Linked DNA regions of Tamandua tetradactyla. Each later gene encodes a partner of the first gene's protein in a complex. Links are inferred from orthologs where the notes say so. Each region holds a gene or a part of one and is shown on either strand. Other genes may lie near its edges.

Region 1 (7,419 bases):
TTTTTATTATTATTAAAAGAAACAAGCAGTACACTTAGAACAATCAACAGTGGGTATCTTAGTTAGCTTAACTGTAGGCATATTTAAATAAAGTATCCGTATAATCATTGTAAAGCCTTTGTTTGCACGTTAAGTTTCATAAAGCAATTTAAAATTAAGGCAACAGGAAAAAAATCTACATAGTCAGATAGCAGTTCTTAAATTCTTAGTAAACACTAACTTAGATACCATTTGATTAGCTGTCAAAACTGTGAATGTTCTCAAAATATCAAGTAGAAAGTTCTTACAAATATCTGTATTGCTATAGTAATGATCTGTTAATAAATATTTTCCAGATTTCAGGAAAATATGGAAGATACAAATATTTTTACAGTTAACATATGGAAATCTTAACCACCTAAAATGGATATCTAAGTTAGCTTATCCATAGGCATATTAAAAAAATATTTAAGTAATCATCATAAAGCCTCTTTATACACTATGTTTCATAAACCAATTTAAAATTAAGCAAGGAAGGAAAAAAATCTGTAAATACAGATATCAGTTACTTGAATTCTGAATATAAAACAGCATCTTAACTACCACTTGATTAACAAAACTGTGTGCATTCTCAAAATATCAAGTAAAAAGTTATTACAAATACCAACTTTGCCATAGTAGTGCATTATGTTACTAAGTATTTTTAAATTTTTGACTTCAGGAATTTATTTTACCTAATATTACTATAACGGCCTGTAGGTGTTTTTTTTTTTTTTAACCTTTTTTAGTTGTAAAATATAACATATATATGTATACACACACAAAGAAAGGAAAGGAAAAAAGCAATACTTTTTAAAGCACACTTCAGCAAGCAGCAATAGAACAGTTCCCAGAGTTTGCGTGGGCTACCATGCCCTCAACTCAGATTTTCCCTTCTAGCTGCTCTAAAACACTGGCAGCTTTATCAGAATCACAATAATGGAGTCATACAGCCATGGTTACTTTTTGACATATTCCTTTGAGAGATCAATTCAGTGACACCGACCACGTGCCTCCTTTGTACCAGGGTTGGGCATCTACATCCCCAGGCTCTTCCTGTTCCAGCCTTGGGGCCTTTGCACAGTCTCTTCTCTGTGTAGACCCCTCTTTCTTCCATTCTTTGCCTAGTTAACTCCTACTCACCTGTTAGGGAAGTACATCATAGGCTGTGTCAGGTTTGCTTCTTACAGGCTCTCATAAGGCCACATAGTTCATGTTGTCTGCCACATGTAGACAAAGTGTATGCTTGGCGTGGTTCTTTGATTAGTAAACCTGTATTTTATTCCTAAGTAGATACCCCCAGTTCCTAGATAAAGGCCTGGCACCTCATTGGGTTTCCAGTTAATATTAATTGAATTAATAGCAGAGCCCACAGCCTCAGGCCCTGCCCTTACTGATTTTAACAGTTCAGTGAGGGAGACACATGTCACTAGATAATGACAACCCAGAGTGGTCAAAGCTGGGATGGGGAAGCCCAGGGACAAGGAGAATTGTTGGAAACCCAGAGAAGGCAAGTCACCCTGCTTTGGTGGGAATGTAGGAAGGCTTCCTGAAGGAGGCGACATCTGACCTGAGGCCTAAATACTGAGTGAGTAAGCCAGGAAGTAAGGCTGGGGAAAGAGATTAAATATGTTCCAGGTAGAGAGATACACATGTGTCAAAGCCTGGAAGTGAAGGGAAGCCAAGCACATTTGGGGAGCTCTAGTATGATCACTGTGGCTGGAACATAAAGAGCCAAGGGAGATGGTAAGAGAGGCCAGATCAGTGGCTAGGGCCAGGTCATATGTCAGCTTAGGGAGCCTGGACTCTGTCCTGAGGTCACTGGGAAATTATTGGGGGAATTTAATTAGGGAAGTGGTATTATCAGAGCTGTGGTTTGGAATGAATCCTCTATGTTGTGTTGGGATGGATTGGGAGTAATAAGGATGGGGGCTAGGAGCACCATGCAGGCCATGGGATGGGGAGGGACCCTCAGGAAGCTGACTGGATAGGCCTCAGAACTTAAGACTTTTTGGTTACTTTTTAGGGAAGTGACCAAGATGAGGTCCAGCCTCTGACTGGGGACTGTGGGGTTGTCCCTGAGACTGAGCCCAGGAAGAGAAGCGGTTGGGGTGGGGTGGGAAATGCTGAGGCCAGTGTGAGATATGAAAGGTCAAGTGCCTGGGAAGCAGTTTCTTTGATTCTAACTGGCTTTACCATGGTCCTTCCCTTCCTGATCCAGTTACCCCTCCCCACCTCATTGCCATATACCACTGGTCTCAGGCCTGGAATAAGGCCCAGCCTTGCCCTTTCCTGCTGTTTGTCACCTTGGGAAAGTGATTTGACTTCTCAGCATGAGAAGCTTGTCTCTCCTGGAGTGTGGGTGTCAGCCCTGTGCACGACCCTGTGTTGGGAGCATTCCAGGCTGACCAGGTGGTTCCCACCCCCAGGGAGGCATGTGCTCTGTGTACCTGAAGGACAGTGAGAAGGTCGTTAGCATCTCTAGTGAGCACCTGGAGCCCATCACACCCACCAAGAACAACAAGGTAAGGGCATTGGGTGGGGAAAGAGGAACTGGAGGGCTGCAGATATGGGACCCTGACCCTATGCCCCCATCCCCAGGTGAAGGTGATCCTGGGTGAAGATCGGGAAGCCACAGGTGTCCTGCTGAGCATCGATGGTGAGGATGGTATTGTCCGCATGGACCTTGATGAGCAGCTGAAGATCCTCAACCTCCGCTTCCTGGGGAAGCTCCTGGAGGCCTAAGGCAGGCAGAGTCGTGGTTGTTGGCAGATACCTGGCAGGTGAAGAGTGTCCCTCCTTTCCTGGCCCTAGGCCTGGAGCAGGGCTAGACTGGTCATTCTAGATTTCCTTTATTTTCTCATGTCCTTCCTTTCTGGTGTTAAGTGGGAATCAGAGTAGAGTCTGGCAGAGGGTCCCCACCTTCCTTTATCTCCCTCACTGTCAGCTTGCTTTTTGTGTTATGTCTTTCAATAAAAAGAGCTGTTTGGTCAAAAGTCCTGTGTTTGTGTGTCTGGTTTGTAAGTGTGGTCATTTGCAACTCCACTCTTACTTCCTTGCTGTGTGGTCTTAGACAAATGATTTTGGGGCCTTCCTAAGCCTCAGTTTCCCCATCTGGAAAACGTTAGTGTCTACCCCAGAAGGCTGTTAGAAGGATGTATGAGAAAACATCCAGAAAGGGATTGTTAGATTCTGCCACATGATTGATGAAATTACATCTTACTCAGGCATGGGTTATCACAATATGCAAAAATCGCAGTCAGTATCCCCAGGAAACTTCCTTATTCCTCCAGTGCTGCAGGCTACAGCATATGATGATCCTTTCTCTCTTCAGCTCTGATAGCAGGAACACCAGATTGCTGTAGCTTGTTGATGACTGGGGGTGGAGTAGAGAGGCAGTATAGAAAATGGGGTTTAGTACCCTGAAACTCCTTCAGTTTCCTTATTTGATGTTCACATGTCTTTTAAAAAATGTATTACAGAACATTTCAGATGTTCATAAAGATACGTGAACACCCATGTCCCACCACCCAGTTTAAGAAACAATATGTGCCAGATAGGACTCTTTAGCAGTAACCCCAATCCATTCTCCTCCCCTCCAGAGGTGATCACAGTTTGGAGTTCCACCTATCTTTCTTTTGTCTCACTTACACATTTGCTACTTTATTTTATACCCTTAAATGTTCTATGGTAACTTTATAAAGTTTGGTATCAAACCTTTTTTTTACTCAATAATTTGAGGAAGATTCGTGTGGGGCTACTGTAGCCTGTTTCACTGATGATTCCAACTTCTCTCAATAACCCTGACCCAGCCACACAGATCACTGCTCCTGTGGCTGAGCCCCAGATGAAATAAATGGATGGCTCTGAAAATTTCAGACACGTTACAAGAAACTCACGGCAGTAAGGCAAGAGGGGCCCTGCGAACAATAGAGGATAAGATTCCTGTCTCCCAGTTCCATGTGAGGGAAGGAGTCTGAAACACTGGCTGCTTATCCCACTTTCTAGTCCTTAGTTTTCTATTTCTGACTATCGGGAGGTGAAGGCAAATCACAAATGGCGAGATGAACAACGAGACTCGGATATGGATAACCTTGGCCGATGGCTTCTTACGGCATCAACTTTACCTGTGAGTAATAGGTGTGTTCCCTGTCCCCGCCAGGTCCTTTTGCTGGGGCGGCGGAATGCCCTACCGCCCGAGGGGGACTCAGCGCCCGGGTGACCTTGTATCTTAGTTGGCGCGCCCGGGTGCAGCCACCAAAATGCCCAGAGGTGAGTCGCCTCCGGCAGTTCGCCCGCAACCCTTTGGCTCTCTCGGGCTCCCGTCCACCTGCCCCTCCCCTGCGCACTCATTGGCCACGATCCCGACACGGGGCGGGTGGAAAGGGAGTGAGTGGGTGGGACCGCGTGACGTCAGCGCAAGATGGCGGCCTCGACGGCCCTGTTCTCTCGTTCGTGGAGCTGTCTCCGGCAAGGCGCGCGGGGTCTGTGCACGAGGCTGGCGACGCCGCCTCCCAGGGCCCCGGACCAGGTGAGTGGGATGAGGGTGGCGCCCCGCGTGCGGGCGCCCTTCTCCGGGACTCCGGACGGAATGCCGCTGCCCGGGGCTTCTGGAATGCTGCCGTTGCCGCTGGCATTCTGGAGCGCTTCCCTACCTCCCGGGGAGGACAGCGCTTGTTCTCTCGGTCGGGATGTTGGGGCCCTAGTGCGTCGTCAGGACCCCCACCTCCCACCCACGTGAGCGCCGGAGGAGGGGGTCGGCTGTTCCCCATCTCTGAGTGCGTTCAGGTAACGCTTGAGGGGAAGGGACCCGTGACGCTAGGGTCTCAGGCCGGCTTTGGGGGTGATTATTTTCTCCCCGTTGGTGTTGGAGAGGGGCGATAGCAGTTCGGGCTCCCGATTCGACTTGCTTCTATATCGACAGAGAGCCGGCCATTCTGACCTCCAGGCCTGTAACTTCTGTGCCCTACTACTTCTAAGCCCGAGGCAAGCGGATTGCCCTGTTTCTAATCTTTTATCCATATCTTCCCTGTCTCCCATCCCATCTCCTCTATGTCCTGGTACCACAAGCACCAGGCTTCCCAAAGTCATACTTGCTGTCACATTCCCTGTGTGCCCTCCATCCCATTTTTCCAGCTCCCTGATGTGTTTTCTTCCGTGCTCCGGATTTTGGTGGTCTACATCCTCCAGTGCTGTCGTCTCCAGGACCCTGTGTACCGGGCCTGCCCTCTCTTGAACTCCTGGGATCCAGACTCCTGACAGCCTAGTTCTTGATCCTCCTGGCCCCTCCCAACTGCTTCTCAAGCAATAGGCTGCTCAGGGGCTATGAAGCATGTGTCTGCTTCCTGGCTCCCCACCCTGATTCTTTTCAGGGACATGGGTGCCCCAACCACCCCGGCCTTATTCCTCTTCTCTCATCATCTTTCTGCTCCCTCTCACTGCAGGTCGTGGAGATTGGCAGTCGTGGGAATACCCAGGCTCAGGGGCCACAGCAGCAGCAAGGCTCAGAGGGTCCCAGCTATGCCAAGAAAGTCGCTCTCTGGCTTGCTGGACTTCTTGGAGCTGGTGGGACTGTGAGCGTGGTCTATATTTTCGGTGAGAGACACACCTGTGTCCCCCAGTTTTGTCTTGTTGGCTTCCCATTCCACCTCCTAATTGCCCCCCTTACCCCTCAAGAGTTTCACTGTCTTTCATTGGCTCCTTCTTCAGTAAGACAGGCAACTAGGATACCTACCTTGAAATGAAGAAGTCTCCTTCTTTCTAACTCCTGTACTCAAGTTTCTACTTCTAGTTGGTTTCTTCAGCAAGTTGTAGGGTACCAGTCAGAAGAGGGGAAGATAGGGAAGGATAGATATTGACCAGCCTACTAAGCCTCTTCCCTCAGGACTAGCCCTTCCCTTTGCTCCTTCTTCCTCAGAGAGCCAGGAATCCAGGTTCCCAGCCCCCTCCTCTCATGAACCCAGGAGATTATGCTTCTTGTCCTCTTCCCTCAGACCCAGGAGTCCAAGCTCCCAGTCCTCTTCTCAAAACCCAGAAATCCAGGCCCCCTTCCCACTCCTCCCTCAGGACCTAGGAGTCCAGGCCCCAATTCCTCTCATTCGCCCTGTTTGCCTTGCAGGAAACAACTCCGTGGATGAAACTGGTGCCAAGGTGAGGGGGGAAGAGTCACAGATGTCCTACCTGGAGCCCCTTAGGTGTGAGGGTGGTCCTCTTTGGTCTGGTCAGGTTCATTTCTTATTTGGGGTAAGCCTTTTCTCCCCAGAGACTTTTGCCTATTCCTCTCAGAGGCCTGGAGGTTTCTTTCCTGGGTGTGATGTTGTGTCTTCGCCATTCCAACCTCCGCATTTTTCTTTCTACCTTCCAGATTCCCGATGAATTTGACAATGGTGAGGAAACAAGACTCTGGGGTCCCCTGACCCTCCCAACTCTGTTGTTTGCTGTGATGTAACCCTCCATGTGGTGCCCCCCACCAGCCCCTCCTCCTTTCATTAGGGGTGGGGGAGTCAGCAGCTGGATGGTTTGTGGGGAGGGGCATTACAAAGCCCTTGTCCCCTGACCTGGCCCCTTAGTCCAGGAGCAGATGGTGAGGGACAGAGGGGGAGGGGATGTGGGGGGTTCAGGGCAGCCAGACACATGGTTTCCTGTGCCTTAGCTGAGCATCTGCAGTCCCTAGCCAGCTCCTCTTTTAGGATAGCCTCTTCTTTTTCTTGCAGTCCCCTACCCTTCGGCTCCTCATTTCCAAAATAGTACCTCCTTCCTCCTTCCCCTTCTGGTTAACCAGTTTTTGGTGGGAATTTCTGACAGAGAAACTGGATAGTAGAGAGTAGTTGTCAATTCCTATTACACCTGGTCCTTCCTAGAAGAAGAATAAAATTGGTAGGTCCAGAAAGCTGCCTGTGTGTGCTGGGGATGTTTGTAAACTGACATGTTGATATATTGATTGTTTTTAGAGTGGGCAGGGGGTAAATATACAAAATTGCTTCTGGTTGAGAATGGGTTTAAAGTATGTAGATCTGTGTATATGTTCATTCTGGTTTAACTAGTTGTGGTATATTGGCTTAAAGTTGCTAGATCTGGGAGCATGGTGGTTCAGAATGGACAGGTATATGTATATTGGTCTTAAGTGAGCAAATACGCATTCTGTTTTATACTTGGGATAGCATGTGGTGTAAATAATCAGGTTAAAATTGGGCAAGTGAATAAATATAATTCTACCTGGCAGTCATGTCATTGTATTGCCATCTGCCTTTGGACCTAGAAACGGGCTGTTTCAAACCAGGTAGGCAGATAGACAGGTTTGTATCTGGTAGATAAATAAACCCCTCATTTGTCCGGGAGATTAAACAGGGCTCATCTCAGAATTCCTTTGCGCCCTGGTGTTCTCCTAGATCCAGTCCTGGT
Region 2 (7,233 bases), on another chromosome or scaffold:
CAGGATATCTAATGCCAAATAAAGACGTTGTATTTATTTAGTCCACGTGCAGCTTCCTGACCCGGGGGACCCGCGCTCTCTGCATAGGCACTATTACTAACCCCAGGGGTGCCAGCACCACCTCTGTTGCCCTCGCTTGCTCAGGAAACCCACCTGCCAGCCCACCCCAGCTTTCTGTGTTTCTTTTTCCTTCCCGTTCCCACCACAGGTTGCTCAGCAAGGTGAAGGGTTCGTAGCTGCTGGGATTGAAGACGTTGGCCTGGCCTCGTTCTCCCTTCTTGCCCTGGTCCAGCTGGGACCAAACTGATCAGTATTGGGGGTGGGGTGAGATAGACATCGAACTCCCCTTCCTCACCACCCTTCGCTTCCACGTAGGGCTGACACGACTAACTTTTCTTTGATATTGAGGGCATGGACAGGACCCACCTCAGCCTCCAGCCCCTGCCACCCCCATGCTCTTTCTTAGGTGAGTTTTTGCAAATAAAATGTGTTCTCCATTTTGCTGGCTTGGGTTGAGAAACCTCAAAACAGAGAGAGAGAGAGAGAAAGAGAGAGAGGGAAGGAAGCACTCAGGTCTCACGGGCATGATCAACAGAAGCTTTTATTAAAAATCCCAGGGCTGGGGCTGGGAGGGTGAAGCTTCAGTCTTGCTGCTTGGTTCGGGAGGCCTCAGCGTTGGCCCGGAGCACAGCCCCTGGGGATGGGTATGGGCGCTGCTGGAAGAGGGGCCCGGCTGCTGTTGTGTCTGCACCCGTCTTGGCCTCGTTCCGCTTGGGGAGCCCTGTTGACCATGTGCCCCTGGGGGTGATACAGGGTCAGGGGTGGGAATGTGGGATGCAATGGGTAACTCCTGTGCCCTGATTAACGAATAAGGGGAAGGTGAGAGCAGCGGGGGAAGGGATGATATCTGCTCAGGCAGTGAGTCACGAGGGAAAAGAAGGACTTTGAGAGGCTGTCACTTACCGGGGTGCGTCTGAGTACGAGCTGGGGTCCATGGGGTCTAACTCTTCATCCTTTCGGCTTGCCACTGCAGAAGTGGTACAGTGAGACCAATCCAGGCACAAGGAACCCTGATCGTTGAACCCTCCCAACCCAGGAAGAAATGGCACACCATGGGGCCGCAGCACCTTTTCCCTAGGGCCTCAGCTTCAGGCACTTGCATGAGTGAGGGCCCCCTTAAATTCTGCACCCCAGGTGCTTTGTTTGCCTCACGCTAGTCCCAGCCCTACTTGGCTTACCCTTTTTGCTTTTGGGGTATGGAGCTAGCTCCTCACGGCGATGGTGGCGACGTTCTTTGCCCTCTTCTCGGTCTGCCTTATCATACCCGCGTTCCCGATCCCGATCCCTGTCCCGCTCTCTCTCTCTATCCACTTTGTCATAGCCACGTTCTCGGTCTCTATCGGACTTGTCGTGGCCCCGGTCAGGCTTGTCGTGGCCCCGGTCCGATTTGTCATGGCCTCGGTCCGACTTGTCATGGCTCCGGTCCAACTTCTCCTCAGCATCTGGGGACAGCAGGGTCTGTCTTATTCCATCTGCTCCTACTAGATCCACTATCACTGACCTGACCCTTCTTTGACAATTGCTAAAATCACTTGAGGCACTCCTGGATCTGCCAACTCACCTGCATTACTGCTCCTGAGCTTCTTGGCAGATTTGGTCACGACGGAATTGGGGTCATGTGGGGAGAGCCAGGACACGAGGTCTGTGTCCACATTCCAGTAGTAAGGGAGCCCACTGTGGGGCAATGGGAGGGAGGGAAGGAGTGTCAGCAAAGATCCTCAACTCCTGTCTCCCCAATCTCTGCCTAGACCTGCCCCATAGGGAGGACCCCCCAAATCTCCCATATCTCCCATATACCCCAATGCCCAGGATAGCCCAGGAAGGGTGAAGTTGGAGGTCATTTCCCCTCCCTGCCAGGTCCCCAGGCTCACCAGGAAGGGTCAAACACCTTGTACCAGCTTGGTGGCAGGCCCTCCAAGCGGGTGGCCTCATAGTCTACAGGATCATCATCATAGTCCTCAGCAATGATTTCTTCCTCTGGCTCTGGCAGGACAAGGGGGAGGAGGGCAGTGGTTAAGGACCAGGGCAATTCTCATCATACAGTCAGGGCCTACAAAGACTCACAGACCCTTGTTCACACCCCTGGCCAATCATGAACCACACCTGGTAGATACATGCATGTGTGGATGTACACAAAGTATCTTGTGTATTCCAAACCCAAATACCTGAATACCAGGGGATTTACCAAAACAAACTAACAAAACTTAACCCAAATCTATTCCATTCCCATGTTCAGATAATGACATAGCAATGTGTTAGCCAAATGTATATAGATAAAATATAAACAGCAAGGGATTTATCTGAAAAAATGTGTCCATTCAGCTGCCAAACTTAATATGGGGTTTTTGAGTCCTGTGTATTAAGTATGCCAGGATAGCAAAGGGATTTATCCAAATATTGCTCCAAATCCACTTGGCTCCTAAGTGGCAAGGTGAAAATGTACTGGCACATAGTAGGCTTGTAAGAGATGTCAGTTAATATTTATAGAATTTTTTAAAAAAGGTATGTTTTATCAGCTGTGTGCCTGGCTCTCGGTCAGCTCAGAACAGATTTCAGCTATGGACATAAAACTATGGACATAACAATGAAACATACGTATGTCAGCAATAGCATATAGTGCCTGTGGTGCAGTAGGCCTCAAACAGATGTCTGCTACCATCATTAGAATTGTTAATAAGATGTATGTCATCAGCACAGGAGCTGGCACTCAGAAAGGCTTAAAAGTAAGATCCATGACCATTATCTGTATTAGTAACTATCAAGTCTGCCTGGCACGCTGCAAGCTTGTAACAGGCAGCTGAAATCAATAAAGGTGAACAATAAGATGTATTTTTTCAGTGCCTGACATACTGTAGCCCAAAGTAAATGCCAACCTTTAGCATAAACAATAAAGTGTAAATATTAGCAGCAGCACAGAAGGCCTAAATAATAGCTCCTCACTGTCATTATTTTATACTCTCAACCCTAATGTGTTTGCCAGCAGGCACTTAGTAGGCCCAAAATACATGTCAGTTCTCAATGAGGTGAATAAAGTATATACATCACCAGCAGAGTGCCTTCCCCTACAGCAGGCCTGAAATACTATCTATCAGTCTGGTAAACAACAAAGTATCAAGGTCAACGCCCTGCTGTGCCTGGCATACAGAAGCCTGCACTAGATGTCAGCCGTCCTTGTTATTAGACAGTACTTACCACCCTATGGAACCTGGCATATAGCAGGCACTAGAGAGCTATCAGCTGTCAGAACTGTTAAGGATTGCAACATCTATCTGCCCCAGTGCTCGGCAAACATAGGAATGGATGTCAGGAATCCATGTTAATGAGATGCCCCAGCTCCTGGCTCCTAGCTGCTTAGCGCACAGAAGTCCCAAGCTTGGTGTTAAGTGTCAAGCCTCAACAACAAAGTGCTTGTCAAACCCGGCACAAAGAAAGCCCATTTGCGCTTAGCTCTCTTACCCGGCTCCAGATGTTTGAGAATGCCTCTCTTGGCCAGGCGGGTCTGCAGCGCCACGGGTAGCGGCATGGCAAGTAGCACAGACCTAGGGACGACCAACAGACTGAAAACCAGCTCGATGATTCCGGATCCTGTAACCAAGCGCCTCCCTCCAGCATGGACTCATCTTGATCCCTACCTCCCGACTGGCACCAGAAACTGGGCGGGCGGAACCTACGCGCCAAAAGATGGAGGAGATAGGTGGCCACGGTCAGCCAAGCGGACACCAGCACTCCTCTCGTGGCCGGGATTGCCATCGGGTCCTCCACCCCACCCCCGCATTCCTCTCGCAGGCTTTGCCCACCACCGAAGCAACCGGCGCAGTTTCCCCGCGCTGGAGAAATGGGCTCACCCAATATCCCTCAAAGCTTGCCAGGTGGGAGGAACCAAAGTGCTGGAACGGGGGAGCAGAATGCAGCACCTCCTCCGGCTCCAAAAGAATGCGTCCACCCCAGCGTTGCCGATACAGCCTCGGGGCTAGTGGAAGGCTGTCAGACAGGCTGCCTCTCTCTCCTCGTCGCCAGGATCACCGACACCACACTGCTCTCCCCTCAAAGCACAGAATGAAAGCCTTTCTCCCTGAACCTCGAGGTAACTGGGCGACGCTCGGAGGCGGGATGAACCCACGACACAAACCTGGCAGCCAATGAGCGCTCCCTGGGCCTGACGTCGAGGGAAGTGACCCGACCCTTGTCCGAGAATAGGTGAAGAGCTCGGACTCCTGTGTGCGTTGCCACTGGGGGCGTGGCCCGGCCGGACGCCGGCGCCATGGAGGAGTACGCTCGTGAGCCCTGGTACGGCGGTGGGCACAGGCCGCGGGATCGTTGTGGCGGCGCCCTGGCCGGCCGTGGGGGGCGGGCGGGGAAGACACCAGCCGCAAGGCGCCGCGTCCCAGATTCGGGAGCGTCTTGCAAAACTTACTTCCTTTCGCTCGCCCCACCACCCACCATCACCACCTGGGTGCCTCCCACCCAGGCTCGGTTAAGACGAGGCCCACTAACGGCGCTCCTGGAGGTGCGGCACTGGGCGAACCACTCCACCTCACCTCTGACTTTGTATCTCCCAGCCCTTCCTTGTTAACGACAAAGAGACACGCTGGTCGAATCCATTCCGGCAAGGGGTGGGGGGTTACGATGTTGAGCGGCGATCCCTAGGATTACCACGCGTGGTTTTTCCCAGGTCGCTTTGTTAATGGAGGGTGGGGCCTGGGTGATCATATTGTGGGCAAAGAGGGGAATGCTGGATCCTCCCCAGCGTCTGCTCTCGGTTTTTCCCACCGGTGCTCGGTTAAAAGGGAGGGCCGGACTTGATTGGCTGTAGCCATTGTTGGAGAAGGGGTTGCAACCCCATTCTGCTTTAATAACTTATGTGGTGGTTAGGTAAAAGTGCTGTCTCTTTGCTAGTGTCAGCTCATCTAATCTTTGACAGCCATTCCCCAGTTGGCTGCGAAGGGCACGGGTCAGCAGGGCAAAGACTGCTACCCCCCCCCCACCTCTGCCTTATATCTCGCTTTAATGAGAGAAAAAGTGACAGAACTAGCTCACTATTATATGAAGTACTTCTTCCCGCTCATGAAGTTCCCATCCGGGTGCCTTGGTTCCTCCGATTTGGAAAGAGTTCGTCCATGTGACAGCGCACAGTGTAGGGTTCACCTTAATCCCTTCCCCTCCCCCCCCCTCCCGCTTGCAGCCCGTGGCGGATTGTGGATGATTGCGGCGGAGCCTTCACCATGGGTGTCATAGGCGGCGGAGTCTTCCAAGCCATCAAGGGCTTCCGCAATGCCCCCGTGGTGAGTCCTGGCCTTCTCCGGGTGGTGTGAGGGTTGGCTGCCCTATTCACAAGTGATACTATCCTGCAAACCTCTTAGAGCTGCCAGTCACATGCACTTATTCATTCTGTTGTGTGCTCATCAATTCTTGCTCCCGGATCTGGGGTCTTAGGGGGAATTGCAAACATGGCCCCTGCCCCCTCTCCAACTGGGACTCCTTCCTGGACATGCCATGCTGTCAAAACAGTCATCAACAAATCCTAAATGTGCCTGCACAGACAGACATATCTTATCTCCTACAGGCAGATTTCAGGTCTGAAATCTGCATAAAGGGAGGTGATAGGAGTTTGTCAGAGAGAGGGCAGCTTTAAAGTTGTAAAAAAATAATCCTTTTATAACAATCCTGTTTTCTTTCTCTGCCCATGCCCTTTCAGAAGCAGCTCTCATCAATTGTCATGACTTTAAATGCCATCAGTTTGCCCAGGTCTCTGATTTTCCTTTTTTCCTTTTTGCATGGGCAGGCATCGGGAATCAAACCTGGGTCTCTGGAATGGCAGGCAAGAACTCTGCCACTGTGCCACCATCACCCACCCTCTGTGATTTTTATAACTAGCCTTGTTTCTCCCGTCAACTCCAGATCCATATATCCAAATATCTACTTTACATCTAAACTCAAGAGGTCAAAATCAGAGCTCCTGCTTCTTTCCCAGAACTAATCTCATCAGTCTACCTCATCTCAGTATTCCCTCTTCCTTATAGTCTTTTAGTCCAATAACCTTCAGCCATTCTTGGCTCTTCTTTTTCCTTCACACCCCATCTTGCATCTGATGTATCAGCAAAACCTGTGTACTCAGCATCCAAGCACATATATCCCCAAGTCAACAACTCACCACTTGTACTGCCACTATCCTTGCCTGTACTGCCACTATCCTTGCCTGAGTCCCCCTGATTGCTGTAGTCTCCTCACTCATTTCCTTGTTTCTTCCTCTACCCCCTTGGAGACTCTTCTCAACACATCAGCCACGGGGGCCTTTAAAAAGGCAAATCCAATCCTTGTTCCTCCTTATAATTCAATAGCTTTCTGTTACACTTAAAATAAAACCCAAACTTCTTACCCTGCCTTACACAGTCTAACTGCCTACTTCCTATCTTCTACCACTCTTCTCCTTGCCCACTCTGCCCCACCCTTATTGGCCTCCTTATTTTTCCTCCAGCGCCCTGTGTCATGCCTGCTGCATGGCCCTGGCACTTGCTGTCACCTGAGACTTTAACTTCTCTTTCCTGTTTCGTTGCCCTAGACTCTCCTTCAGGTCTCAGCACAGATGCCCTTTCCTTAAAGAAGCCTTTCCTGCCAGTCAGCACTATTCTATCTCTTCATCCTGTTTCCTGCTTATTGCTGTCTGAAACCATCTGATCTGTCTGTATCCTTGTATCTTTAAGTTCTGTCTCTTATACTAACTAATATGTGAGTTCTAAGGGGTTAGGGACTGGGTCTGCTTCATTCACTGCTGTAGCTCTGCATATAGCCTGGCATATAGTAGGTGTTTAACAATCACTTATTGAATGAATGAATGAGAACTTCTCAAACCAGCTCTGAGTGTTCCCCAGACCCTAGTTCTTGACTGCTTCTCACAGCTCTGCCCCTCATACCCCTAATAGGTCTCCCATCTCCTTGGCCTCCCTTAAAAGCCAGAAAGCCTGTCTGCCAGCGGCCTCATCACTGTCCTGACACCCCTCCTCATTTTCCCCCAGGGAATTCAGCACCGCTTGAGAGGTAGTGCCAACGCTGTGAGGATCCGAGCTCCCCAGATTGGAGGTAAGGGGCATGGGGAGACAAAGAAGATGTGATAGTAATATCGGGGGGGGGGGGGGTGTTCCTTTAGGTCTAGACTGCACGTTGTGGGGTGGGTCC

What was found. Proteins that work in one complex are often made in the same cells at the same time.
Region 2: TIMM50 (region 1) and TIMM17B share a complex: the UniProt entries of both Homo sapiens proteins name them as parts of the TIM23 complex. The link is inferred for Tamandua tetradactyla from reciprocal best matches to the Homo sapiens genes TIMM50 and TIMM17B.

Annotation. Positions count from the first base shown.
Region 1 is NC_135342.1:24,503,454-24,510,872, reverse strand, and holds the start of TIMM50 (mitochondrial import inner membrane translocase subunit TIM50), read left to right. Parts: upstream 1-4,410; 5' UTR 4,411-4,441; coding exon 4,442-4,549; intron 4,550-4,642; exon of another isoform or gene 4,643-4,806; intron 4,807-4,942; exon of another isoform or gene 4,943-5,004; intron 5,005-5,462; coding exon 5,463-5,613; intron 5,614-6,136; coding exon 6,137-6,168; intron 6,169-6,382; coding exon 6,383-6,404; intron 6,405-7,406; coding exon 7,407-7,419. Other genes in the region: SUPT5H (transcription elongation factor SPT5), read left to right, coding at 2,448-2,543, 2,620-2,763. UniProt on the Homo sapiens protein: Essential component of the TIM23 complex, a complex that mediates the translocation of transit peptide-containing proteins across the mitochondrial inner membrane. Has some phosphatase activity in vitro; however such activity may not be relevant in vivo.
Region 2 is NC_135353.1:121,254,984-121,262,216, forward strand, and holds the start of TIMM17B (mitochondrial import inner membrane translocase subunit Tim17-B), read left to right. Parts: upstream 1-4,212; 5' UTR 4,213-4,321; coding exon 4,322-4,347; intron 4,348-4,452; exon of another isoform or gene 4,453-4,567; intron 4,568-5,242; coding exon 5,243-5,342; intron 5,343-7,073; coding exon 7,074-7,137; intron 7,138-7,233. Other genes in the region: SLC35A2 (UDP-galactose translocator), read left to right, coding at 209-236; PQBP1 (polyglutamine-binding protein 1), read right to left, coding at 642-798, 964-1,027, 1,239-1,502, 1,622-1,734, 1,932-2,043, 3,517-3,599, 3,732-3,835. UniProt on the Homo sapiens protein: Essential component of the TIM23 complex, a complex that mediates the translocation of transit peptide-containing proteins across the mitochondrial inner membrane.